Linked DNA regions of Cricetulus griseus. Each later gene encodes a partner of the first gene's protein in a complex. Links are inferred from orthologs where the notes say so. Each region holds a gene or a part of one and is shown in the gene's direction. Other genes may lie near its edges.

Region 1 (4,059 bases):
TTATTTGTGCTACAAAATTAGAATCAAGTAATGAGGAACAATGATAATAAAATGCAGTTGGGTGTAAGGTGAAGAGAAGAATCTAAAGAAAAAGTTAATGTCAGGGAGAGAGACAACAAACCAGGGAACTCTGTAGTATTCAGTGACCTGGCTCCTGACTACTAATACAGTCAGAGACCATGCTGCTTGCTGTAAAATCCCTACAGTACACCCCAACTACAAAGCCTCACACCCATGGGCAACTTCTAAGTGGTGTGATGTCTCCTCTAACTTGTTTATGAGCTTCAGGTACTGACTTACTCATCTTTAAACCCCTGAAGGGGGTCATCAGGCCTGTAATTTGAGAGCGTCTTTGCCAGGGCGAGGCACAGGATGTCTAGAAGGTCTGAACCTTTCACCCCACCCATGCAGACGGTCCAGATTTAGGTCTGGTTAACAAGGCGGGAAACGAACTAAGGAAGATGCTCGGTTGGAGCAACTTTACTGGTTGTTGAACTACAATTCCCACAATCCACTGGGGCTAGAGCCTGCAAGAAAAACCTGGCTCCTTCTGGATGCCTCCTGGGAAATGTAGTGTCAACCTAACCCTGATTCCCTCCCGTAGTCCCATTCAAAAGTTACCAAACTCCAAAAGAACCTCTTTCGAGACGGTCGAGTGACTCTTTGATCCAGCCTAGAGTTAGAGAGGCAGGAGGTGGAATAGACAGATGCAAATAAGAACAGCTACTTTTCTATACCTTCGCATTTGCTGGGCAAACGTTCTGTGTCATCTTCCTCCTTTTTCGTCGTCCCAGCCCAAGCACTGTACGCTGCCAGGATGAAAAGCAGTATTTCCAGCCTCTCAGGTCCCATGACAAAACGCAGTCCACGCATACAACCACCGTTTCCCTTCGGACTAACTTCTGGAAGGCAGCGGGCCCTTTAAATTTAGACGCAGCTGGCCACAAGCTTAAAAAAAAAAAAAAAAAAAAAAAAAAAGCCATCGTGGAACGGGCAGCGCATGCTCAGAGCTAGCCCGAAAGCGGGTGGAGCGTCATGGCTCTGGGCTTCCCCGCCTTAATTTTGTGGCGCCTCCTGTAGGTCCTGGCAGCTGAGTAGTGAAGACACAGATTGAAGTTATTAGAATATAATAATATGACCCTTACACATATACGTAGAATGTAATTTTTATATAATTTAAGACTGTAATACTAGATGATCTATTTTGATGTAGGGAAGAGCAGTGATAAGCACTTGGCTTCTGCCAGGACCTACTCCTGCCAGGGGGCGGGGCCAAGATGGCGCCGAGCGCCGGGTGAGCGGCGCTTTGGCAGCGGTGAGAGGCTTTTACTGCTCCCAGTGCTTGGCTGGCGGGGGAAGGTCTGAGGTGTATCCGGGAGGAGACCCTTTTGAAAGGGCCCATGTGAGAACTGGGAAGAGGACGGTTGGTTGTGTGTCCGCGCTCGTGGGGACTCTGCGTGTTTGCACTGGAAGGAGGTTGGGGAGATGGAGTGGATTGTGAACCTCCTGTAGCGCTGCCCGGGGAAATCTTCGAATCAGTTCTCTCTGAGGAAAATGGTGCACAGATCTAGCTCAAGCTGTCTGCCCTCTGAGAAGTCTTCCTGTCGCTTCCACTGAGACGCTCCTGAGGCTGTTAAGAGTGTTTTATGAACCCTTAGTGACAGAGGGTACCGCAGGGGACTGGGTCACGACTACTTCTTGTATACCTGACACCAGGTACAGAGTATGTCTGAGTAATTGTATTCCTTGTAGACAAGATTTAACAAAAGTCTGAGAAGACCTGGGATGGCTTGAAAAGAACCAGTGCCCTTTGGCCTCTTTCCCCCAGTCTCTCTAGCACTCAGTTCCGAACACTCTTGAGGTTGATCTTCCTTATGTCCAGTGTCAGGCAAGCTCCTTTCCTTTTGACCACAGAGTAAACGCTAAGCTTGAGTCTGTGTCTTTTTCATTTTGGTAATTGTTATACCAAGTATTTATAGAACATTTACACCCTTAAGACTTAAAATTCTTTTGTTTTAACAGTGTCCTGGGTACCAATCTAGGTACCAGTTAGGTCAGTGAACATAACAGACATATTCCTGTCCACTGGTGAGGTCAGGATGATAAACAAGAAGTGATAGCTAGACTTAGTGCTGCACAGCTGCAAAGGCAGAAGGATCTCAATTTCTAGGCTACAGAGTGAGTTCCAGACAAGCCTCAGTAACTTGCTGAGACCCAGTTGTAGAGGGGTTGTTTACCATGTAGAAGGCCCTGGATTTAATCTAGAGAGAGATGATGTGTGTATATACGTACATATATATATATGAAGAAAATATGGCAAAGAAGTAAAGCTGGGCATGGTGGCACTTGCCTGTAATCCCAGCACTTGGGAGGTGGAGGCCAAAGGACTAGGAGATAAGGTCAGTGTTGTCTACATAGTGAATTTGAGGCCAGTCTGGGCTACATGAGACCTTGTCCCTAAAGAAAGGGGTGAGGTGGGGTCATGTAGCTAAACTCATTTGGGAAGACAACAGCAAAAGCTCTGAAACCAAGTGTATGTCTGTCAGATTTAAAGGAGAATGATGTGACAGAGTAAAGTGAGAGAAGGAATGATGGGTGATCAGAGATATGATGAGAGAAAATTGAAAAGGAAAAAAGCCACTTTAGACAGGAACTTACTGCATAGTCCAGGCTGGCCCCAAATTTGCTGTCTCCCTCCTTCAGCCTCCAGAGTACTGGCATTCCAAGTGTGCACTATGTAGGGTCTCACTCTGAAGCATATTCTGGTGTCCTACTCAAGGCAGTCCATTGAAATTAGAAGTGTTAACCCCAACACCTGGACAGGAGACATTTTGAAGGGAGGGCTTTGGAAGGGTTATATGGCAAAAGGGGAACCATTACAGCAAAGAAATGGTAGTCTATTGTACATTTGGACAGCAGTACTTTGGTTTTCAGGAGTAAATACAGGGAAGCTCAGATGGAAACAGGAACACCTTGTCCAGGGGCTTTTAGAGTTCAGCAGGTGACAGGTGATGGTCATGTAGGCCAAAAAGGGTCAGGTTGGGCTGCCTGGTTCATTTTGAATCAAACGTAGGTCTTGTTCATGCCAAGTACTCTACCATTGAGCCACATCCTCCAGCCCTTGCCTGGTGGATTTGATTCAAGGGTCCAGAGTGGAATGAGTTGTGCTGGATGTGGTGACACATGCCTATAGTCCCAGCACCTGGGAGGTATAGATATCAGTATCAGGAGTTAAATTCCAATCTCAGCTATTTATAGAGTACAAGTTAGCCTGGACTACAAGAGGCCCTACACACCTTTAATCCCAGCACCCAGGAGGCAGAGGCAGGTGGATCTCTGGATTTGAGGCCAGCCTGGTTTACAGAGCAAGTTCAGGTCAGCCAGAGCTACACAGAAAAAAAAAAAAAAAAACAACAACAAAAAGAAAAACAACAAGAACAAAACTGGTGTGGAGATGTAGCTCAGTTAAGAGTATTTGCCTAGCAGACACAAAGCCCTGAGTTCCACCTTCAGCACCACAAAACTAGGTATGGAGGTGCATGTCTATAATCCCAGCCTTAGGAGGGTAAAGGCAGAAGGATCCAGAGTCAAGGCTATCTTGTTACCATGTTTGAGACTAGGCTACAGAAATCTTGTTCCCAAAAGTAAGACAAGACAAGTTGTCACTAGTCACCAAAATGCATAATATATATATATGTGTGTATAATCCCAGTGCTTGAAATGCAGAAGTGGAAGCCAGATGTGGTGCATGCCTTCAATCCCAGCACTGGGGAGGCAGAGGCAGGCAGATCTGTGACTTCAAAGCCAACCTGGTCTGTAAGTCCAGGACAGCCAGGACTGTTAACTCAGAGAAACCTTGTCTCAAAAAACCAAAAATAATATAAAATTTTAAAAAAAGAAGAGAGAAGCAGGAAGCTGGAATTAGAAGTGCCTGAGCTAGATAGTGAGCTCCTGTGTCCAAAACAAAATTAACAATAAGGAAAGAATAAAGGACAAACCAAGTTGTTAGGTGATAGCATTGCTTTAAAGATGAACTGAAGGAGAAGCAAGTAGGGAGGG
Region 2 (2,677 bases), on another chromosome or scaffold:
AGTTTGTTTTAAGTAGTTGGTTTGTCCAGAGTAAAATGAATTTTATAGAACAAATCCTGTTGCCTGTACTTTGGGGACATTAATGGAGTATGAAGTGGCCCATGTGTACACAACTAGGAGTAAGTTAGGAGCCAGATTTTTATGCCTATCAAACTGTACTTAACACCTATTTTTTTTATTTAAAGTAACCTTTATTATGTTAAGGTTATTAAATATGAAAATAGGGTAAAATGCAGAAAGGAATAATAGTATCTGTGTAAATCCTTCTGAATGTGACTTTGTAAGTGTGTGTACTTTTTTCTTTTTTACCTTGTAGCCCGGGCTGGCCTGGAGCTCACAGAGATCCATTTGCCTCTGCCTCCCTAGAGCTGGGACTAAAATTATGTGTAACCATGCCTGACTGAAAATAGTAAGATAGCCAGTAGCAGCAGTCTTGGACCCATAATTCCAGCACTTAAGAGGCTAGCACAGGCAGATCACTATGAGTTCACTTCTTATCTAGGGTGCATATCAAAATTTGCCTTAAAGAAAATAAAAACATAGGGTGCTAGAGAGATGGCTCAGTGGTTAAGAGCATTGGATGATGTTCCTGAGGTCTCAGATTGGATTCCCAGAGCCCATATGGTGACAGTTACTGGGGATCCAGCATCCTCTTTTGGCCTCCTTGGGCACAAGCTTGCACATGGTACACACACATACATGCAGGCAAAACACTCATGTACATAAAATAAATATACCTTAATAAATAAAATTTTGCCGGGCATTGGTGGCGCACGCCTTTAATCCCAGCACTTGGGAGGCAGAGGCAGGTGGATCTCTGTGAGTTCGAGGCCAGCCTGGTCTACAAGAGCTAGTTCCAGGACAGCTTCCAAAAGCCACAGAGGAACCCTGTCTTGTAAAACCAAATAAATAAATAAGTAAATAAATAAAATTTTAAAATTAACATTAAAAGGGTTAAAGGTCTTGAGGGGGGGGCTATAGCGTGGCGGGAGAGCACTTGCCTAGTGTGCATTAAGCTCAGTAAAGAACCTTGGAGAAGCCATGTGCTGTGCAGTGGGTGCCAGGCCTGCCCTGCTGCTTGCCTGCAGCTGCACTGCCCTTCTAGCTGGAGCCTCAGCTCTGCTTGTGTCTTCCTTGCAGAGCGCCAGTGGAACATGTGGATCCCAGGATTTGGCTCTGAGGAAATCCGACCCTACAAAAAAGCTTGCACCACAGAAGCTCACAAACAGGTCAGAAACCCAGGACAGCCAGGGCTGGTCCCTAGGACTGCACCTTGGAGTGGGCACAGGCAGCTGTGTTCCAGGAGTGTCAGTCACCTGTGCAGCCAGCTTCTCTGCACCAGAGGTCAGAGGTCAGAGGCAGCACAGTGATAGCTTCTATGGTGCTGATGCAGATGCACAGGGCTTCAGTTTTCCTCTCTGCCCCATGGGTTTCACTTAAAGCTCTTGATTCCAGATCTTTGGTGGGCACGCCCACCTGCTCCCACACCTTAGTGAAATGGCTGCCCTGGTGGGGAAAGGGAGCTGCATGTGAATACGGCAGGCACGGCTGGACAGAGCTGGTCTCTCAGTCTGTGAGATGGTGGCCACTGTGGCTGTCTCTCGACCCTGCATTCTGCTTCTGTGATGGAGACCATGCTGTTTGATGTTCCAGAGAGCTCCTGACTTGGAGCCCTGTTAACTGTTCATTTCTCTCCCCTTTCAGAGAATGGCATTGATCCGGAAAACAACCAAGAAATAACACAGGGGACAGTTAAGGAATGGACGACATGTATTTGGAGATACTTGAGCTGAGACCTCAGCCATCTCATCCTTGGATTTTTTTTTTAAATGCTTTACAGAGAAGCATATATTTTTTATTAACAGTGCAGCAATATCTATAATGACTGAGAAGATCTGCCAAAAGAATAAAGCCTCCTACCCCAACTTCTGGTCCCTTTTCCCTGCCGTCTCAAAGAGAAGCAGTGTATCTTCCGGAGAAGACTTTACCTGTGGTTTATCTTATAAATGATTGACTGTAGGCAGAGCGGTATGGTCATGCTGGGTGAGACAGTGTTAGCAGGTTTGTAGAGGGTTTGTCTCCTCCTTTCCCTTGTCCTGTACTTTGTAATGTCAGTGTTTATATGAATATGAACTTGATTTGCTTTTCCAGAATAAAGAACTTATAAATTGAAGACACAGGGTGCCTAGCTGAGGCCTTTGAAATGCCAGTCAGGATCAGCAAGGCTGGAGGGCTGCAGTCAGCAGGTGGCAGCACAGGGGCCCATCTGTGCATTTAAGAAACGGGTTTTTCCACTGGTTTACTCCAAAGGGACAAACCAGCAGTAGGAGTTGGAGTCCGGTTTCTCTGCTACCAGACAGGGTAAACTAGCCCCGAAATAAACAAGCATTCTAGTTCAGATAATGTTGGTATCCCTGGGACTTTTTTTTTCTTTTTGTGATTTGAGGCAGGCTTTCATGTAGCCCAGGCTGGCTTCAGACCTGATGTATTGTTGAGGCTATCCTTGAATCACCCTCCTGCCTCCACCTCTCAGTGTGCTGAGATTACAGGTGTGCATCATCACACTTGGCCTGCTAGAGCCCCTTTGGACCTCTTCTGGAATTCCATGGAAGATCAGATTCATCCTTGGCCATGAGGAGGGATGGGAATAGCTTTGGGGACAGTCCTGTTGCTGGGA
Region 3 (4,213 bases), on another chromosome or scaffold:
CCTGCTATGTTCAAGTCCTAGTGGTCAAGATGCATGGTCAGCTGTGTGGTATACGCAGCCACGCGATCCAGGAAGCGATACTAGGTTTCGCCAGCCAGAGCCTGATGGATCGTATTAACTTGACAGAATCTAGAATCACCTAGTAAAACCTCGCGGGCATGCTTATGCAGGTGATTTCAGGACAGTGTAGCTGAGAAGGGAAAACCCACCCTAAATATAGGTGGCACCATCCCATTGCCTGGCTTTCTGAACAAAAAGGAGGGGGAAAAAAAGAAAGAAAGCAAACTAACATTCATCTCCTTAGACTTCCGGTCTGCGGATGCAGTGTGACTCCCCCCTTCTCCAGACGTCAGGCTTCCCCATGGTGGACTGTACCCCTCAAGCCGTATGCCAAAAGGAACCTCCTTCTCTTAAGTTGCCTCTTGTCAGGCCTTTGTTAAGTTTTCTTAATGTCTTAAGGTTCACTATTCTTCCAAGAGAGAATGTTTCATTTAGAAGAAAATAGGTAACCAATACTATTGTACTTATTAGAATCCATGCAGAGGTCAACACCCTAGGCACATAACACACACAGGTAATATCCATCTCTCACACACACCCCTAACCTAAAGGAGCTTATCACCTCGTTGATAGTGCTAAATCCAAGGGAAAGGGAATAAGCAGAACTTCCTTTCTGCCTAGGTGAACCATATCAAGAAGAAATCAAGATACGCTGGAATTCAATCAAACGTTAAGAAGCAACCTAAGAGACAACTGCTGTTTTCTTGGAACAGCCCAGAAGTCAGCTGTTCGTCGCTGAGCTAAAATGTAAATGAATTTGTGACTCCACCTCCCCTGTGTCGTTGTCGTTCTTCAGATACCAGTTAACTTTCACTGAGGGTATGCTATTCGTGTCATTGAAATCACAAATTTCTAGGAGGCAGCTGCTACTACCATTCAGCTTTATGGCGTTAAGTGGAGGATGTAGGGAGCTTGCCGAGGGTAACACTGTAAGTGCAAAATCCTATTCGACTGGCAGGGCGTGGTAGCCTACGCCCTTAATCCCCTCGCTCCGGCGGCAGAGGCAGGAGGATCTGAGTTCGAGGCCAGCCTGATCTACAGAACGAGTCCCAGGACAGCCAAGGCTACACAGAGAAACCCTTTTTCAAAACAACAACACCCATGGGAGGCCAAGGATGTAGCTCATTGACAGATCGCTTGCTTGAGTTTCACCCCTATCGTACATCCCCAACAGTCACCTCTGCACCCTCCAAGTTTGCAGCCTCTAACGAGAACCGGTCGGGAAGAGTTGTCCAGGGGGCCCCGCCCCAGCCCCATCCTCGCCCCGGAACTTCTGGGGAGCCCCGCCCCCTCATTTCCTTAGCCAGGGATCCGCCGCCCGTGCCGGGCTTCAGTCAAAAAGCGCAACTGCCGGAAGTGACGGCATCAGATGTGCGTCGGGCCTCGGCGGGGTCGAGTCCGGGAGCGGTGGCGGGTAGCTGCTGGCGGTTTGGCTGGCTGGCTGGCTGGCTCTCTCTCTGCGGTCGCGTCATTTTTTTCTCCGCAGCGCCCAGGTAACGGTCGTTCGGCTTTTTTCCCTCTGCTCCGAGGGCCTTGACCAAGGCGACCTGTGCGGCGGGCATCCCGGAGACTGCCGGCGGAGACGCGGGCGTGGGGCGCGCGGCCCGGCGGGGAACGGTCCCCCGCGCGCGCCGCGGCAGCTCGGCCGGCAAGTACCAGTCGCCGGGCCACCGCTTCGGCGGGGTCCTCCAAACCCAGCGCCGAGTGTGAGCCTCCCTGAGGGACTGGCACCGGGCGGCACCGCGCGCCTCGGCTGCTCCTCCCCCCCCCCATTAGAAGACGGGTTTTTACCCAGGCCTGGGGCCGCTCCCCCGTAAGGGTAGTTGTGTTAGGGAGCGGTTTGGAGACTCTTAAACTCATCTCGTCAGCAGCAGCCTGAGATTCGAGCACGACAGAGATCCCCGCTTGGTTTGCTCGCTCTCCCGTCTCTGGGCTCCGGTTAGCGGGTGGTTTTTCCCGAAACCCTGGGTTAGACTTTTCTGAGAAGAGACAGCAGTACTGGGTTAGGCAGGCGCGTGAAGACGGCAGAATTGTTTCTCAGATACTCAGTTTGATGGCTGCGTTTCCTAAAAGATGAAGACCCTGAAAAAACCGGCTAAGAATAAGTTAGTGTAGTGATTATTTTCGAGTTTGTGATACAAGTGAGGAAAGATGGTTTACATCGCCTGCAGGTGTGAGATGTGACCTCTGCGTAGCGTAGCCTTCTGCCAATTTCCGCCTTACATATAATCAGCCGGTTCGGTAAACTTGATTTGCACGAAATGATCTGGGTAAATCTCTGGTTATAATTACATCCAATCATCGTTATCTTTTTCGCTCAACTATAGCGGTGACCTCTGAAATTGAATTTTCTCAGATTTATCCCATCCCAGCAGAGAGGTGGTGGCGCACGCCTTTGATCCCAGCACTCGGGAGGCAGAGGCAAGCGGATCTCTGAGTTAGAGGCCAGCCTGATCTACAGAGCTACACAGAGAAACCGTTGCTCAAAAGATTAAAAAAAAGAAAGAAATCCCATTGCCTGTGTAATAACATCTTACACTCCGAATTATGTAACCCTCCTATAGTTGCTTGTCATCTCTTGTAGAGACTTTCCATACTAAGCCTGTCACTTACATACTGGATGCTCTATTATATTAGCCTTTGTCTTACTTTAACTTTTTGTGTGTGCTGATTCGTACATTTTTGTTCCTCATGCTAGATCCGTGTTAAATTGCTCCTGGCTTGTGAAAGATCTGGCCTCTCAAACGGTACGTAACTTTATGTATGTGAATGTTTTGCCTGTATGTCTGCTTGTATACCACATGCATACCTGGGGTCCATGGAAGACAGAGAGCACTGGTTGCCTGGGACTGGATTTACAGCTAGTTGTGAGCAGCCATGTGGGTGCTAGGAATCAAACCTAGGCCTTCTGAAAAACAACATTGCTCCTAACTGCTCTCCAGCCTCTTGACTTTAGTTTGCATTCTTTCTTCCATAGCATTCATTCATGGTTATGCACTGCATGCCAGGCCTAGTCCTAATTGAAAAGATTTGAAGACATGAATGCTGGTTTTAGTTTCTTGCATCTTGCCTTACTTAGTAAATAACTGTGATTTTAGTGCTTGCTAATTTTTTTACAGTTATTTGTATTTTTTTTTAATATTGACAAGGACTGTATCCTCTTCATCTTTATCTTTGTATCTGGAGCACTTCTGTTACAGAATAATAACATTTTCTGATGATATCAGAAAAAGTGTAATTTTCTTGTAAATTTAGTATCTCTTGTATGTCTAGTATCTCTCAGAAACAGGCATCTCTCTCTTTTTTTTTTTTTTTGGTTTTCGAGACAGGGTTTCTCTGTGTAAGCTTTGGAGCCTATCCTGGCACTCACTCTCAAACTCACAGAGATCTGCCTCTGCCTCCCGAGTGCTAGGATTAAAGGCATGCAGCACTAACACCCGGCCTTCTTTTTTTAAGATTTATTATGTATAGTGTTCTGTCTGCATGTATCCCTGCAGGCCAGAAGAGGGCACCAGATTTAGTCCCAGCACTTGGGAGTCAGAGAAAGGTGCATCTCAGTGATTTCAAAGGCCAGCCTGGTCTACAAAATGAGTTCCAGGACAGCCAGGACTACACAGAAAAACCCTGTCTTGAAAAACAAAAGGAAAAAGTGCTTCTCAGTAATGAGTTTGTAGGAGTATCTTTTGGGTCCTCTGTCCTCTCAAAGAGATTATGAAATTCTTTGATTGATTTAGTAACATCAGAAGAAGGCCTGTGTCAGCATATACTTAAAATGACCAGGGGTCGTGAGTATAAGACTTGTAAATTTTAGATGATAATAAATGTTTAGAATAAGATCTGATTGTTGGGCTGGGGAGATAGCTCAGTGGTTAAGAGGAGTTACTGCTATTATAGAGGACCTGGGTTTGGTTCCCAGCACCTAGATGGTAGGTAGCTCACAACTATCTGAAACTCCAGTTGTAGGGAATCCAATACTCCCTTTCTAACTTCTGCAGGCACTACACATGTGATGTGCATATATACATGCATACAAAATACTCATACACATAAAATGAAAACCTTTTTTTAAAAATGTAATAATATCTGTCCTGTACTTAACTATGTGTATATAGATTCACCCACTCCCGCTCCCCCCCTTCTCCCTCCCCCCCCC
Region 4 (3,500 bases), on another chromosome or scaffold:
GTTTTTAGAACTTCAGTGTACTTTTAGTTGCTCAGTCAACACCACTGGCTAAAGGTTCCTCAAGCTCTGTGTCCAGGAAAGAGCCAATAATCACCTTGCTCTTTATTCTTTTTTCTGTTAATGATGACACAGATCAGAATGAACCTTCATGCCTTGGATTTGTGTTTGAACCCTTCAACTCATACCTGAGCATGCAACAGTCTGTTCACTATCTTAAGAATGTCATTTATCTCTCCTGCTTCTACTATTTGCTACTACTTCCTAGTCTAGTCTTTTCCTCCGTCTTACCTACATGTTAGTCACACCTAATTTGTCCTCTGTTTTTGATGTCTGTCACTCCCCATTCTTTCTATCCATCATGTGGGATAATCTTACACAGACTCCAGTCCATAGTGCTGAAGTCTTCTGACTTCTGTGATGTGAATACAACTTTACTCAACTTCTTTTGTTTTCCACTTTACTCCTTACTTCCCAGACACATTATTTCATGTTCTTATATACTTCCTGTGTCTCAAGTCCTCCTCTTTGCCAATTAACTGTTGATCCTGGACCTTGGTACTCCTGGCAATATTCAAATCACTACATTATTCTTGAAGTCTTCCCCATTGACAGTGAGTCACCCCCTTCTGTTTTGAAATCCTGTAGCACTTTGTCTGTGTACTAATTGATTTCCCATATGCTTTACACATGTACTATTGTAGGCTATGAATTGACCCTATAGTTCTTTCAGCCTTTATCATCATATATTATATATTTAGTTAATATGTGCAAAAAGATGTGATCTGATCTTATAAGAACTCAGTCATGTAGGCAGGGCATGTTCATCAGCTCCTTTTGAAAGGCCAAGAAACAGACTCAAGGAGGTTGAGATCCTAAGGTCCATTACTCCGTAGGGCCAGAACTCTAGCTAAAGTACAGTTTCAGTTGTCTGAGCCAAATGAATTGCATTGCATCATGGCGCCCCTCCAAGGAGTACCTATGATGAAAGTTGTGTGCAGAGAACTAAAATTTGTTGCACAAGATTTTCTTCAAAGGGCTGGAAAGATGTCTTAACCAGTAAAATGCTTGCCATAAAAGTATGAGGACCCGAATGCAGTCCACCTAAACCCATGTCTCCCCGAATGGGTAAGATCCAGATTCAGTGAGACACTATCTCAGAAAGTAAGGTAGAAAGCCACTGACAAATAGAGATCATGAAAACTGATCTCTATTTTTGAGGAGCATGGGGTTGTTGGGAAAAGCATGAGAAGAGTGTAGAAATAGAAAGTCACTATTCTCTCAGGAAATAAATTTAGGAAGCTAGTCTCCTGTAACTACTTTTAAAAGAATGATGAACCCAGGATGGGAAAACCTGGGAGGACTCACTCCTTTTCTTCCTTCCAAGAAGTGGGGGTTGAATCCTAGATTCTGTTCATTAATCCCTGTTCCATTCTAATCATATCCTTTCTTCTTTTACCAGAGGAAGAAGAGGAGCAGGTGCCCACTGATGGAGGCACCTCAGCAGAAGCCATGCAAGTGCCCTTGGAAGAAGATGATGAGATGGAGGAGGAGGAAGTCATCAATGATGAGAATTTCTTGGGTAAAAGGCCACTGGACAGTCCTGAGGTGGAAGAAATGCCCACCATGAAGCGCCCTCGACTCCTGAGCACCAAAGGGGATTCCCTGGATGTTGTACTGTTAGAAGCACGAGAACCTCTCAGTTCCATAAATCCACAGAAGATCCCACCGATGCTTTCTCCTGTGCATGTCCAGGACAATACAGATCTGGCCCCTCCATCACCAGAGCCCCCGATGCTGGCTCCATTTGCAAAATCACAACTACCAACTGCAAAGCCATTAGAAACAAAGTCATTTACACCGAAAACAAAGACTAAAGCTAGCTCTCCAGGACAGAAGACTAAATCACCCAAAACTACCCTATCACCAGCAAGGCTTGGAAGTCCCATTCGGTCACCAAAAACCATCCCCAAAGAAAAGAAATCACCAGGACGTTCTAAGAGCCCCAAGAGTCCCAAGAGCCCCAAGATTATAACTCACACTCCCCAACCCCCTGCCAGACCTGAAACACCAAATAGAACCCCTTCAGCTATAGTGGTTGAAAAAACTGTTAAAGAAAGCATCCCAGTAAAGCCAACACAGACTCCCCCAGAAATCGGGAAACTGAACATGGAAATGCAGCCGAAAAAGGCTGTGGTGACAGACAAAACCATCGATGACTCCATCGATGCCGTAATCGCACGTGCCTGTGCAGAGCGGGAGCCAGATCCTTTCGAGTTTTCTTCCGGATCGGAATCCGAAGTAGACACTTTTACAAGCCCTAAGAGGATTTCCGGTTCAGAGTGCACCACTCCAAAAGCTTCCACTTCCTCCAATAACTTCACCAAGTCTGGGTCTACTCCTCTGCCTCTTTCTGGCGGAACTTCAAGTTCCGATAACTCGTGGACAATGGATGCCTCGATTGATGAGGTGGTACGGAAGGCAAAACTGGGAACCCCTTCCAACATGCCTCCCACCTTCCAGTATATCTCTTCTCCCTCCATTTCTCCTCCCACTCCCGAACCTCTGCACAAGGGGTATGAGGAGAAAGCTAAGCTGCCTTCATCTGTGGATGTAAAGAAGAAGTTGAAAAAAGAACTGAAGACTAAGTTGAAAAAGAAAGAAAAGCAGAGAGATAGGGAGAGGGAAAAAGAGAGAAACAAAGAAAGAAGCAAAGAGAAGGATAAAATGAGAGAGAGGGAGAAGGAAAAGGAATCTGCCAAGGAGGTCAGGTACCCATGGAAGGAATTTATGAAAGATGAAGATCCCGATCCCTATAAGTTTAAGATCAGAGAATTTGAAGACATTGATCCAAAAGTGCGATTGAAAGATGGGATAGTGAGAAAGGAGAAAGAGAAGCATAAGGACAAGAAGAAAGATCGAGAACGAAGCAAGCGAGATAAAGATAAGAGAGAAAGGGAAAAGATTAAAGAAAAAAGCAGAGAAGACAAGATAAAGGCCCCTCCAACACAGCTGGTATTACCTCCGAAAGAAATGGCACTACCTTTGTTCAGCCCTTCTGCAGCAGTGAGGGTCCCATCCATGCTGCCTGCCTTGTCACCAATGCTCCCGGAAAAACTGTTTGAGGAAAAAGAGAAGCCAAAGGAAAAAGAAAGGAAAAAGGACAAAAAGGAAAAGAAGAAGAAGAAAGAGAAGGAGAAGGAAAAGGAGAAGAAAGAGAGGGAGAGGGAGAAAGAGAAAAGGGAGAGAGAGAAGAGAGAAAAAGAGAAGGAGAAACACAAGCATGAAAAAGTAAGCTGGGTATCATTTTCGGCACTGTCTGAACAAGGTCCTAGTGCAAAATGCAGGTAAACAAAGCCAGGAGTTATATCTGTGGTTTGGATGTAAATCCAGGGGCAGTTAAGTGGCATTTCATGTGTAATGTGGTTACAAAGATCATTAGTTCTGTAACTAACCCCACACACATTGGATATTAAAAATACATAGCTTAGGAGGAATCTGAT
Region 5 (4,055 bases), on another chromosome or scaffold:
CCCCCCTACTTTTTATTTTATTTTTTAAAGATATGGTCTCACTATAGAGATAGAACTCATGGATATCTTCCTGCCTCTGCTTCCAGAGGCTGGGATCATAGGCGTGCTCTCAACTCTTTTGTAATTTAAAAAATTTTACCTATTATTGTGTATGGAAACTAGAGGACAGCCTTATGGAATCATTTTTGTTGCCTTTCATCTTTTATACAGATCCCAGGCATTGAACCTGGTTCTTAGGCTTCCTACTAGAGCTTTCACTAGCTAAACCATCTCTCCGGCCCATCCTTTGTAATTAAAAAAAAAAAAAGTTACTATTAATTTTTTTAAAGTCGTGTGTATTAATGGGGGCAGGAGACATGGCGCTGTGGTTAAGATTCCAGAGACCTGTATTTGATTCCCAGCACCTACATAGCAGCTCATAATCTACACCCCAGTCCCTGGGAATCAGATGCCCTCTTCCGGCCTCTTTGGCTCTGCACACATGTGGTACACATACCGGCAAAACACCCACATACATAAAGATTATATTTTCAAGTGGGCGGTGGTGGCCTGCCTACACCTTAATCCCAGCACTCAGAAAGCAGAGGCAGGCAGATCTCTGTGAGTTCGAGGCCAGCCTGGTCTACAGAGCGAGTTCCAGGACAGGCTCCAAAGCTACACAGAGAAACCCTGTCTCAAAGAAAAAACAAACGAAACCAACAAAATCCACCATAAAGATTATATTTTAAAAACACGTGTGACTTGTGTACTTGAGTGCATCAGCTCTGGACGATAAAAACCCATCATTTTCCCCCGGAGCTGCAATTACAGTCGTTTATCTATAAATATCCATGTGTATGTACAAATTTATCACGTTTTCTGAGACGCGGGCTCATGTAGCCTAGGCTGCTCTCGAACTCGAGACCCTCTTGCCTCACCCTCCTAAGTCCAGGATAGCATACCATGCACGGCTTCATCATTATTATATTTATTATTATTATTATTATTATTATTATTATTATTATTATTATTATTATTATTATTTCTTTTTTGTTGTTTTCGAGACCGTAGCTTTAGAGTCTGTCCTGTGGCCCAGACTGACCTCGAACTCAGAGATGGGCTTGCCTCCGCCTCCCCAGCGCTGGGATTAAAGGGGAGACCCACTACCGCCGCCGGGCCGCGGCGCGGGGACTCTTCTCAATGTTTCACTCCTTCTTCAGGATTCCACTACCAGGAGCGCGTCACCGCTTTCGGCCAGTCTCGGAGCCCCGGGGAGGAGACGGAGAGCGCGTCCCTGCAGACGCAGCGCCCGCCCGGCCGGAAGTGACGCGCCGGATGTTATAAAAGCCGCTAGCGGCCGCGGCGGCTCTCAGAAGGCTGGCGGGCAGCTGGGATGGCAGATGAGGAGGAAGACCCCACTGTGAGTGAGCGCCTCTGTCACAGCCTGTTTCCTCGCTCCCTCGGGCTCACTAGCGGAGGCAGAGTCTGAACCTCGCGTCCCCTAGGGAATCCGCAGTGTTTTCCTCCTCCTCGGATTTACCTCAGTCGTGGGGCAGGACGGGAAGGAAGGGGGCTCCTTTCGATCTGGATCTGCCAGACACTTTGGAGACACCTAGAGGGTTATGGGAGATCAGAGCCAATAAATTCCACGGATCCCGCAGCCCAGCTAACAGAACTTGTGAAGATAGCGGGGAAACGATGAACTAAAGTCAGGAGTCTTCAAGTCCAAACTCTTGCTTTTTCTCTGAGGAAGTTATTTAACTTCAGACATGGGTTTTCTTGTCATGAGATAGGATCAGGCTCACTTAGGGAGTTTTTAGCTCTGTATTGATAAGTTCTTAGTAAATGATGATTCCGATGACAACTGAGAGTTATCAGGTCTTTTACCATGCCATTGCTTAGCAGTATGACCACTTAGTTGGCTGAAAACAAAACCCAGAACCCGAGGTCATTAGAGCTTTTACACACAAAGGTGTAGGGTTGTTAGGAGCAATGATAGAAGCCTTCCTGCATGACCTAAGAATTTGAGGCTAAGTTTTCATGATGTTGTGCTGTTCAGTTTAGCTTATCGCTATTGAAAATGAAAAAGGGTCACTCTCTGGGCTTGGTGGTGCACACCTTTAATGCCAGCACTCAGGAGGCTGGGGCAAGTGGATTTCTTAGTTCCAGGCAGATGGGTACATAGTGAGACCTTTAAAGTCTAGAGAGATTACTTTAGCGGTTAAGAGCAACCCAGTCACCTATAACTCCAGTGGATTGAACACCCTATTTTGGCCCCTGTGGTCACCAGCAGGCACGTGGTCAATGTAGGCACACACAATACACATGGTGTCTTTCAAAACAAAGGGTGAAAATGAAAGGGTCTGGGGATGTAGTTCAGTATCTGTTTAGAATCTTAGTTCCTAGATTCAATATAAGAGAACAGAAAGGACACTCAGTGGAATATCAAATGTAGTACAGTCATTTGACATGGCTTTATGTATTTTCAAATTTCTAGTTTGAGGAGGAAAATGAAGAAATTGGAGGAGGAGCAGAAGGTGGACAGGGGAAAAGAAAGAGACTTTTCTCCAAAGAATGTAAGTTGTATTTTGCAGTGCTTTTGTTATAGATGGTGAAAGCTTGAACATGTCCTTTTAAAGTAGACTTATTATTCTGCATATGTTTTCGTCTAGGGACAGTGTTCTCAGACTTGCCTGTGAAGTTGTCTGTTTTTATTGTTGTTTTGCTCATTTTTTAAAAAGATAGTCTCTCTATAGCACTGGCTACTTCGGTGCTCACTGTGTATCCCGAGCTAGCTTTAGATTGGTGGCAGTCCTCCTGCCTTAGGCTCTGAAGTACTGGCATTACAGGTGTGTACCCTTATGTGCAGCATAACTTTTCTGAATCACATATATTAATTCTGTATGTGGCACATAAAATGATGGATGTGATCATGATTGCTTTTTTTTTTTTTTTTTTTTTTTTTGAGACAAGGTTTCTCTGTGTGGCCCTGGCTGTCCTGGAACTTGCTCTCAGCTGCAAGATCTGACTAGGATTCTCTTTAAGTGTTGAGGTCTTGAAAGACAGGGAAGAGCTAAGGAGCTGTCACCAGTTGGATAGAGAAAACTACAGAGGTGTGAAAAGTGTCTAAAATTGAGGCCTAGGGAGTATAGCTCAGTGGTAAGGGCATGTGCCTAGCACCTGTGAACTCTGGTGGGGGGTGAGTAGAAACCAGAAATCTTAAAAGAAAATGCACCTAAGTAGAAAAATAAGTACACTCTGAATAAGGTACTTGTACTAATGTTGATTTCTTAGTTTTGATATTTGTTACATAAATGTTGTAAGTGGTAACGAGATACTGGGCATATGGAAACTCCTATTTTTATGACTCATCTATAAGCCTAAAACTGTCTTTTAAAAAGGCAAGTTTTAAAAATAGAATTCAAAGGGGCTGGAGAGATGGCTCAAAGGTTAAGAGCACCGACTGCTCATCCAGAAGTCCTGAGTTCAATTCCCAGCAACCACATGGTGGCTCACAACCATCTGTTATGAGATCTGGTGCCCTCTTCTGGTGTGCAGATATATATACATGGAAGCAGAATGTTGTATACATAATAAATAAAAATCTTTAAAAAATAGAATTCAAAAAGAAATAGAGAATATTGACTACTATATTTGTTTTCTTCCTTCTGTGTTGGGACCTAAAGTCTCTTGGCATTTTGAACACAAGGGATAACTGTACTCCAGGCTGGCTTCCAGGTCACCCCTTTCATTTCTTCTCTTTGTTGGCTCTGTCAGTTTTTGCTTCTAAATAGGAATTATTTTAAGGCTGAATATATGATACATATCTATAATTCCAATGCTGAGGAGGCTGAAGCAGAGGATTTATGAATTTGAGGCCATCCTGGGCAACACAGAGAAACACTATCTCAACCTCTTCCAAATAATTAATTAGATATTGATAATAGTAATAAAAATAAATAAATACACTGCAAAAGAATCCCAGCACTAAGGAAGGCTATTCTGGTCTACTTAGTGAGTTCCAGGTCAGCCAAAGCTACATAATGAGACTCTGTCCTTTATTTGTTTTATTTTAA
Region 6 (3,500 bases), on another chromosome or scaffold:
GGCAGGGAGGGAGGCCTGGGGGTTGGGGTGTCTGCTGAGTGCTCATGGATTCCTTCGTGTTTTCCTTGATTTGCTTTTAGTTTAGAAAGTTAAGAGGAAAGAATCCTTTGAGCCCATCTTGGAGACCCCCTGAGTCCTTTTTGGGGAGCTCTGCTGGATCTTCTTTTGAGAGGCAGAATAGTGGCTCAGTTGGGAGTTTAAGCCCCCTTTTCTCACTTTTTCTTTTCCTTTTTTCTCCCCCCCTCCCCAGACATGGTTTCTCTGTATTGCTTTGGTGCCTGTTCTGGAACTTGCTCTATAGACCTGGCTGACTTCGAACTCACAGAGATCCTCCTGCCTCTGCCTCCTGAGTGCTGGGATTAAAGGCATGCGCCACCAATGCCCAGCCCTTTTCACACTGTTAACTTCGCTTTTCATGTTCAGTATCCAATGACCTACGCAGTGATTGGCTTTCTTGTCCCTAGGGTTCAATGTGGACACTCTTCCTGCATATGCTAAACGGTCTCAGAGAATGGTCATCACTGCACGTAAGTGGCTTTGAACCCAGGGACTTAGTAAGTATACAGTGATTATGGTGGGACTCGGTTGGAGAATAGGGCAGGCATCAGAGTGGCAGCTGTTGGCTCTTTGCAAGCTCCCTTCCAGTCTTTGGGGTGGGTTAGCTACCCACAGCCTGGTTTTATCTGGACAGGAGGATTCTAAGCTACTCTGAACCACTGCCCTTGTACTTTAACCCTGAAAAGCAAGCAACGATACAGGAAGACTATGAAAGTTCTTGCTCCTTTAGATCAGGGTTGGTAAATGTAGTCCAATGCTTGCTTTTGTAAATATAATTTTATTGGCATGCAGTTGTATTTATTTGTCTGTGATTGCTTTCATGTTATAAAGGCAGGGTTTTGTGGCTTGCATAATCTGAACTGCCACTGCTTACTGGCTACTCTTGTAATCCTAGCACTTGTGGGATACATAGGCAGGACTATGACTAAGAAACAAGCAAACAAAAGTCTAAAATATGTATCATGTATCCCCTTATGTAAAAAGTTTACTCTTTAGGATAACTAGGTCCCTTAAAGTAAGGAGTAACTGCTTTAGTCTTTAGGACTTGGGGGTACTGCTGTGTTTCTTTCTTTCTTTCTTTTTTAAAATTTTATTTATTTATTATGTATACAACATTCTGCTTCCATGTATATCTGCACACCAGAAGAGGCACCAGATCTCATAACAGATGGTTGTGAGCCACCATGTGGTTGCTGGGAATTGAACTCAGGACCTCTGGAAGAGCAGTCAGTGCTCTTAACCACTGAGCCATCTCTCCAGCCCCACTGTATTTGTTTCTTAAAGTCACTTTTTTGCATTGGCATCATGTTAGATATTAAATCTGTTTATTATGTGTGTGCACGCACATGCCATGGTGTGCATGTGGCCATCTAGAGGAAAAGTTGGTGGAAGCTGTCTCCCTCCACCATGTGGGTCCTGCAGATTGGCTTGGTGGCAAGTCTTTTCCCACTGAACCATCTGGCCACCTGCATTGGAGAGAAGCAGTGGAAGGTGCCATCTTCCTTCCCCTCCACAATTGTTAAGCCCACACTTCCCCCAGCTCAGTGTTTGTTATTTGGGGTCTCTGAGCAGCGTGTGTGTGCTGGGGATTGGACCCCAGGGCCTTGTGCATGCCAAGCATAGACTACACCAAACACTGCTCCTAGTGTCCTCACTCTCTGGGAAGAAGACTAACAGCCCGTTGAATGCGAGTATTGTACTTCAGCATGTTCAACTATGTAGTGACTTTGGTGACAGCCACTCTCCTGTTGATGCAAGGGGCTTACAGGCAGATGTCACAGATTGAAATATCAAGCAAGATGACCTGACAAGGCCGGGCATTGTATGCTGATCTGAAGAGGTTATGGATGGCTTTTTATCAATAGAAATACAAGGTGCTGAGTCATGGTGTAGTGGGAAGATAGGGGTGGGGCTGAAGAAGGACTATTGTCTGTAGACTTCAGGGGTTGAACAAGTAACCAGTTGTGATTCTGTTGCAGCTCCAGTGACTAATCAGCCAGTGACACCCAAGGCCCTCACTGCGGGGCAGAACCGGCCCCACCCACCACACATCCCCAGCCATTTTCCTGAGTTTCCGGATCCCCACACCTACATCAAAACTCCAGTGAGTGGTGGAGCCACCCAGGGGCTGTGAGTGATGTAAACCAGCTGAGGAAAGGTTGCAGATGAAAGTGCTTTCAGTTCTCTGACTTTCCCTAGAGAGCAGCAATCTTGTTATAGGGAATGATGGCTCAGTCCTGTAATCCCACCACTTGGAAGGCTGAGGCAGAAGGGTGGCCATGAGTGTGAGGCCAGCCTGGGCTACAGAGTGAGATGCTGTCTCTAAGAGAGACAGGACTCAGGGAAGGAATTGATACAGTTGCCCTGGACTTCAGTCCCTCAAAGTGTCCTGGGGTTGCTATGATAAGGTGCTACAAAGTAGCTGACTTAGAGCAATAGAAGTGTATTACTTTATAGGCCTGGGGGCCAAAAGTTGAAAATCAAGGTGTTATCAGGGCCATATTCCCTGTAAAGCCTGTAAGGGAATCGTGTTCACCTTGCCTTAGTGTGTCAACATTTCTCCAGCATTTCTTGGTTTATAGATGTGTCGCTCCAATCTTCCTGTCCCCTCCACGTGGTGCTGGCTTTCCACCTCTACAGATTAAATATTTTGTCTTCCCATAAGGACACCATTGTCCTTACTTCATGACTCTTCCTAATCAATGACATCTTGGTGACTCTGTTGACAAATAAAGTCATATGAGATGCCAGTAGTTAGCTTACTATATCTAAACATTTTTTTATGGGAATACAGATCAATTCATAGTATTCATACCTCTTATATGGTATGTTAAATCCTGACAATAAAAATAATGTAAGAAGCTTCTTTTACTGGTGTTTTTTGAGACAGAGTCGTAGACAGCTCAGGTTGGCCTCCAGCTCAGTATGTAGTTAAAAAGATGACTTCAGGCTTCAGGTCCTCCTGCCTCTACCTCTGAAGTGCTGGGATTACAAGTATGTATCATTACCCCTCCCCCCTCTTCCTCCCTCCTTCCCTTTTTAGACCAGACTGGCTTTGACCTCACTGAGATCTCCTACCTCTGCCTCTCAGGTGTTGAGATTAAGGGCATGGGCTAACAAGATGGTATTCTGTAATTCTTTTGTTTTTGAGACAGGATTTCTCTGTGTAGCTTTGTAGACCAGGCTGGCCTCAAACTCACAGGCTGGCTGCCATAGTCAACTATGTAGTAAATATTTGCACTTTTTTTTTTTCCCGAGACAGGGTTTCTCTGTGGCTTTGGAGGCTGTCCTGGAACTAGCTCTTGTAGACCAGGCTGGTCTCGAACTCACAGAGATCCACCTACCTCTGCCTCCCGAGTGCTGGGATTAAAGGCGTGCGTCACCAACGCCTGGCCGCACTTTTCTTAATGAGTATTCCTGTACTGAAATGAGCTCTTTCTTTT
Region 7 (4,076 bases), on another chromosome or scaffold:
AAAAGAACAAGGAAGGAAAAGAAAACAGCCACGAAAGCGCTGCTGAACCAACACATTTTATACACTCTGACAAAGCATTCCAATCCCCCTTGTGAGCGACAAAGAGTGCCCCCCCCTCCCCAAGCCTTGCAGCCCCGGATTCAAGTGTCTAACAGATCTCAGAAAGTTGAACGCACCTCAGTTTCCTAACAAGCCTTTCCAAACCCTGATTTCTCACCGAGTTAAGTCCCGGGGGGGGGGGGGGGCGGGGGTGAGCATATGCCACTTGGACCAGCCAGCCCATCGAGAGTGACTACAAGGAATCTGACGTCAAATTTGAGCTTCAGGCACCAGAGAGGCTCAAAGCCTGAGCACCTCGTGCGCGATCCATGCAGGAGCAATTTTAAAAACAAACAAAAGCCGGGTCCCGCACAGCCCGGTGGAGCGTTCCAAGTTCCTGAGAGAAGGAAATGAGGCGAACCGGCTGGGGGGGGGGGTGCCGCGAGGCTCTGCGCGGCGTGGGAGTTCCTGCACGATATGAGAGGGATTCCGCGAACTCGGTCTGCTCTGAAGTGGCTTTTGTGAGAGGCGACAGCTGGCACCCACGGCGGGCGGGCGGGCGGGCGAGGGTGACGCCGCCGGGCTGTGCCGTGCCGTGCGGCGCGCGCGGGCTGCCACCGGGGCACTCCCCCATTCTCCGCAGCCGCAGCCGCAGCCGCGACGCGCGCGCGAGCCAGAGCCCGGCCGCCCGCGCGCGCCTCAGCCGAGAGCCGCCACCTCCCGCGGGAGCCCGCGCCGTCGGGGCTCCGCTCCGCGCCGCGCCGCGCGCGCACACTCACCTCAGCAGACTGGAGAGCGGGTGGCTGGAGGAGCCGAGGCCGCCGCCGCCCCCGGAGCGCGCCGCCGCCGGAGCCGGAGCCGCCGCCGCCGCCGAAGCCGGAGGAGAGCCGCTTCCCGGACAGCAGCTTCTCCACGGCCGGGAGGTGCCCGGTGCGGGCCGCCTCCAGCAGCTCCTGCTCCTTCCCCATCCCCAGGGCCGCCGCTCCTCCGACCCCCGCCCGGGGCCACGCAGAGCCCGCGGCGGCTCCCAAACTTTCCGTCTCCGGGCAACGCACCCCTCAACCCGGCCGGGGACGCCACCCCCTCTCCCCCGCCTCCTCCGCCGCCGCCGCCCCCTCCCCGCGGCGCGTCACTTCCGGGATCCGGCGTCACGCGTCACCGGCCCCGCCTCCTTGCCCACCTAGTGGGCGGGGCCCCGCGCCGGCGCGCAGGTGACGGCGCCCGGCGCCGTCCCCGCCCAGCGCGCGCGCCCGTGGCGCAGGTGGGAGATGCGCGCTCGTGCGGCTCCCGCGCTGCGGGACACAGGGGAAACTTGGTAGCGCGCGCGCCAAGACTCGTAGGTGAACTTGGGAACAGGCGCGGAGACCCGGAGGCAGCCGCGGGAACGGCGCCCCCGGGCGGGAGGACCGCAGTTGGGCCGGAGCGGCGGCGGCTCCGCTGTAGCCCCTCCGCTGGCCTCCCAGGGCGCCGTGCGCAGGCGTGCATGCAGCCGAAGCCCCGTACGCGGGCGAGCGGGGACGAATCCGCAGCCGCTTCCGCGCCGGGCTCAGAAGAGGGGCCACGTGTGACCCCAGGCGGCCCGCGGGCTCTGCAGTCCAGGGCGGCAGTGCGGCTTTGACGCCGGCAAGCCCGGGGCTCACTGCCTTGTCACCCCGAGTCAGGTCGAGGAGGGACTGACGGGCAGGGCGTTTCCATAAAGGACGAGAGAAACAAGTCTCTCAGCCAACGAACGTACGCTCGTCCACAGCCGCTCCTTCCCTGAAGCTGCGGACGCGCGCTCTTAAGTTTCTTTCTCGTCACAACAAATGCTGCCTAAGTGGCTCCCCAGGGCCAGCCGCGCGCTTCTGGAACGGACCCCTCCGAGGCGCCGTGGGTGACGTCATCGAGGCGCGACGACAAGCCGTCAGCCCGGGTTCCACGGTAGGGCCGGTCGTCTCGCTCCCCTCCCGCCGCGATGGACAACCCTGCGGAGTCGCCCTCGGACAGAGGCGGAGAGCCGGCGGAGTCGGAGGAGACGAGGGCTGCTCCTGGAGTCCCGGCGGCCGCCGGCCCCGAGGGGGGCCCGGAGGAGACCGACGGAGATGCAGAGGCGAGCCGGAGAGCGGCGGCCGAGAGCGAGGTGGGCGCGCGCCTGCTGCAGCCCTGCGGGCCGGGGCCGGGGCCGGGGCGAGGACGGGCACGGGCGGTGCACCGAGCCCCAGCCTTGCACGCTAAGCCCCAGGGGTCCCGGGGCCTCGTTAAAACCGCCGGCTGTGCCTCTCCAAAGGCCAAGCGTCGTTGCCTCCTCGACCCTCAGCGTCCTTTTCTGCAGGCAAAAAATGTCGGAGTTTGAGAGCTGGGGCTGGCTTTGAAAGATCACGGGGTGAACAGTAGCTAAGGTGGAAATGGGCTTTCTAACCGTAACTGCCTCAAAATGCCTGACGTAATAACTTTCAGGAAGAAGAAAATGTAGCAAAACTTTATAGGATTTTGCTTTTTGTCTTTATGAGGGGCGTCTCCCTAACACGGCCTGGCCCTGAGCTTGTGACCCTCCTGTCACAGATGAGCAGCAAAACTGTTTTCAGAACCGGGCGTTGGTGGCGCACGCCTTTAGTCCCAGCACTCGGGAGACAGAGGCAGGCGGATCTCTGAGTTCGAGGCCAGCCTGGTCTCCAGAGTGAGTTCCAGGATAGGCTCCAAAGCTACACAGAGAAACCCTGTCTCGAACCCCCCACCGCCACCGCCAAAAAATAAAAAAATAAAAAAACCTTTTCAGAAAAAAATTTAAGCTGAAGTAGACAAAATACATTACAAGGCTTAATGAGCTACAAAATGAGACCTGCTTCTATCCCAGCTCGAGAGAGAGAGAGAGAGAGAGAGAGAGAGAGAGAGAGAGAGAGAGAGAGAGAGAGAGAGAGAGACAGACAGACAGACATCGAGAGGGGGGAAGAGGAGAAAGGAGGAAAGTTAAGGGCAAATAAATTTGAAAATTTGAGGCACACAGGTTAGAAAATGTGTATAGATCAGTAGCTAAAAAGAAGTTGAAAGGATTGGCAAATACATAATGCCTTCACTCTCCCTCTCCCAATTTCTGAATGAGTTTAAATATGAATCTCTTTCTAAAGGAACCATTAAATCTCACAAGTGAGTTTTGATGTATTATGATTCCATAATAAGCTTGTCATGACATACACCTGTTAGGAGTAACTTTTGAGTGCTTATTTGGAGAGAAATGTAAATAATAAACATCTTCAAACAGATTTTATAGTAGGGCAGGCAAAACGGCTCAGCAGGTAAAGGTGCTTGCCACGAAACCCTGGGAACTGGAATTCAATCCCCGAAACCTACATAAAGATACAAGAGAACCAACTCCACACTTGCAAGTCTACACACAGTATGCATGAATGCACCTAATAATTTTAAATTTGGGCTTTTAAAAATTGTTATTGTATGGATGTTTTGCCTTTGTGTATGGATGTTTGCCATGTATGTGCCTGGTCCCTGTGGAAGTCAGGAGGCATCAGATCCCCTGAAACGAGTTACAGATGACTGTGAGGTGTCATGTGAGTGCTGGTCATCAAACCTGGCTCCTGCAAGAGCAGCCAATGCTCTTTCTTAACCTCCGAGCCATCGCTCAGTTTCAATTTAAACTCAGTATGGTGGCAATCCCAGCAAAGAGGTTGAGGCAGGACAATTTCCACAATCTGGAGACTGGGGAGTGTTGGACCACCAGTCTAAGCTACAAAATGAGATGTCTTAAATTACAAAAGAAAAAAAGTTTCCAAACTGGGAGTGGCAGCAGAGGCCTTTAATCCCAACAGTTGGGAGGCAGAGGTAGGTGGATTTCTAGGAGGTCAGCCTGGAGGACAGCCAAATTTTAAAAAAAGGTTTCTAGTCTAGTAATGGGAGAGGTAGTATCTTATGATCCAGTAGAGGAAGGGTCAGAACACAGCACAGGGTGGTGCTCCCAAGACGCAGATGCTGCTGGATGGATAACTTTGCTGACACCTGTAGGGTGAGGGTGGGGGAGTGGCGATTTGGCTCCTTGGTGTTTTCCC

Evidence for each region.
Region 2: Taf6 (region 1) and Taf12 share a complex: the UniProt entries of both Homo sapiens proteins name them as parts of the TFIID basal transcription factor complex. The link is inferred for Cricetulus griseus from reciprocal best matches to the Homo sapiens genes TAF6 and TAF12.
Region 3: Taf6 (region 1) and Tbp share a complex: the UniProt entries of both Homo sapiens proteins name them as parts of the TFIID basal transcription factor complex. The link is inferred for Cricetulus griseus from reciprocal best matches to the Homo sapiens genes TAF6 and TBP.
Region 4: Taf6 (region 1) and Taf3 share a complex: the UniProt entries of both Homo sapiens proteins name them as parts of the TFIID basal transcription factor complex. The link is inferred for Cricetulus griseus from reciprocal best matches to the Homo sapiens genes TAF6 and TAF3.
Region 5: Taf6 (region 1) and Taf13 share a complex: the UniProt entries of both Homo sapiens proteins name them as parts of the TFIID basal transcription factor complex. The link is inferred for Cricetulus griseus from reciprocal best matches to the Homo sapiens genes TAF6 and TAF13.
Region 6: Taf6 (region 1) and Taf8 share a complex: the UniProt entries of both Homo sapiens proteins name them as parts of the TFIID basal transcription factor complex. The link is inferred for Cricetulus griseus from reciprocal best matches to the Homo sapiens genes TAF6 and TAF8.
Region 7: Taf6 (region 1) and Taf11 share a complex: the UniProt entries of both Homo sapiens proteins name them as parts of the TFIID basal transcription factor complex. The link is inferred for Cricetulus griseus from reciprocal best matches to the Homo sapiens genes TAF6 and TAF11.

Annotation. Positions count from the first base shown.
Region 1 is NC_048597.1:116,864,033-116,868,091, forward strand, and holds the start of Taf6 (transcription initiation factor TFIID subunit 6), read left to right. Parts: upstream 1-1,259; 5' UTR 1,260-1,400; coding exon 1,401-1,402; exon of another isoform or gene 1,403-1,716; intron 1,717-4,059. Other genes in the region: Cnpy4 (protein canopy homolog 4), read right to left, coding at 738-873. UniProt on the Homo sapiens protein: The TFIID basal transcription factor complex plays a major role in the initiation of RNA polymerase II (Pol II)-dependent transcription.
Region 2 is NC_048595.1:20,962,370-20,965,046, reverse strand, and holds the end of Taf12 (transcription initiation factor TFIID subunit 12), read left to right. Parts: intron 1-1,140; coding exon 1,141-1,229; intron 1,230-1,704; coding exon 1,705-1,740; 3' UTR 1,741-2,177; downstream 2,178-2,677. UniProt on the Homo sapiens protein: The TFIID basal transcription factor complex plays a major role in the initiation of RNA polymerase II (Pol II)-dependent transcription.
Region 3 is NC_048595.1:294,441,117-294,445,329, forward strand, and holds the start of Tbp (TATA-box-binding protein), read left to right. Parts: upstream 1-1,413; 5' UTR 1,414-1,553; intron 1,554-2,758; 5' UTR 2,759-2,807; intron 2,808-4,213. UniProt on the Homo sapiens protein: The TFIID basal transcription factor complex plays a major role in the initiation of RNA polymerase II (Pol II)-dependent transcription.
Region 4 is NC_048596.1:226,857,191-226,860,690, reverse strand, and holds part of Taf3 (transcription initiation factor TFIID subunit 3), read left to right. Parts: intron 1-1,459; coding exon 1,460-3,288; coding exon of another isoform or gene 3,289-3,344; intron 3,345-3,500. UniProt on the Homo sapiens protein: The TFIID basal transcription factor complex plays a major role in the initiation of RNA polymerase II (Pol II)-dependent transcription.
Region 5 is NW_023276806.1:48,546,490-48,550,544, reverse strand, and holds the start of Taf13 (transcription initiation factor TFIID subunit 13), read left to right. Parts: upstream 1-1,255; 5' UTR 1,256-1,372; coding exon 1,373-1,399; intron 1,400-2,476; coding exon 2,477-2,555; intron 2,556-4,055. UniProt on the Homo sapiens protein: The TFIID basal transcription factor complex plays a major role in the initiation of RNA polymerase II (Pol II)-dependent transcription.
Region 6 is NW_023276806.1:256,850,711-256,854,210, reverse strand, and holds part of Taf8 (transcription initiation factor TFIID subunit 8), read left to right. Parts: intron 1-464; coding exon 465-527; intron 528-2,036; coding exon 2,037-2,161; intron 2,162-3,500. UniProt on the Homo sapiens protein: The TFIID basal transcription factor complex plays a major role in the initiation of RNA polymerase II (Pol II)-dependent transcription.
Region 7 is NW_023276806.1:233,027,501-233,031,576, reverse strand, and holds the start of Taf11 (transcription initiation factor TFIID subunit 11), read left to right. Parts: upstream 1-1,276; 5' UTR 1,277-1,993; coding exon 1,994-2,158; intron 2,159-4,076. UniProt on the Homo sapiens protein: The TFIID basal transcription factor complex plays a major role in the initiation of RNA polymerase II (Pol II)-dependent transcription.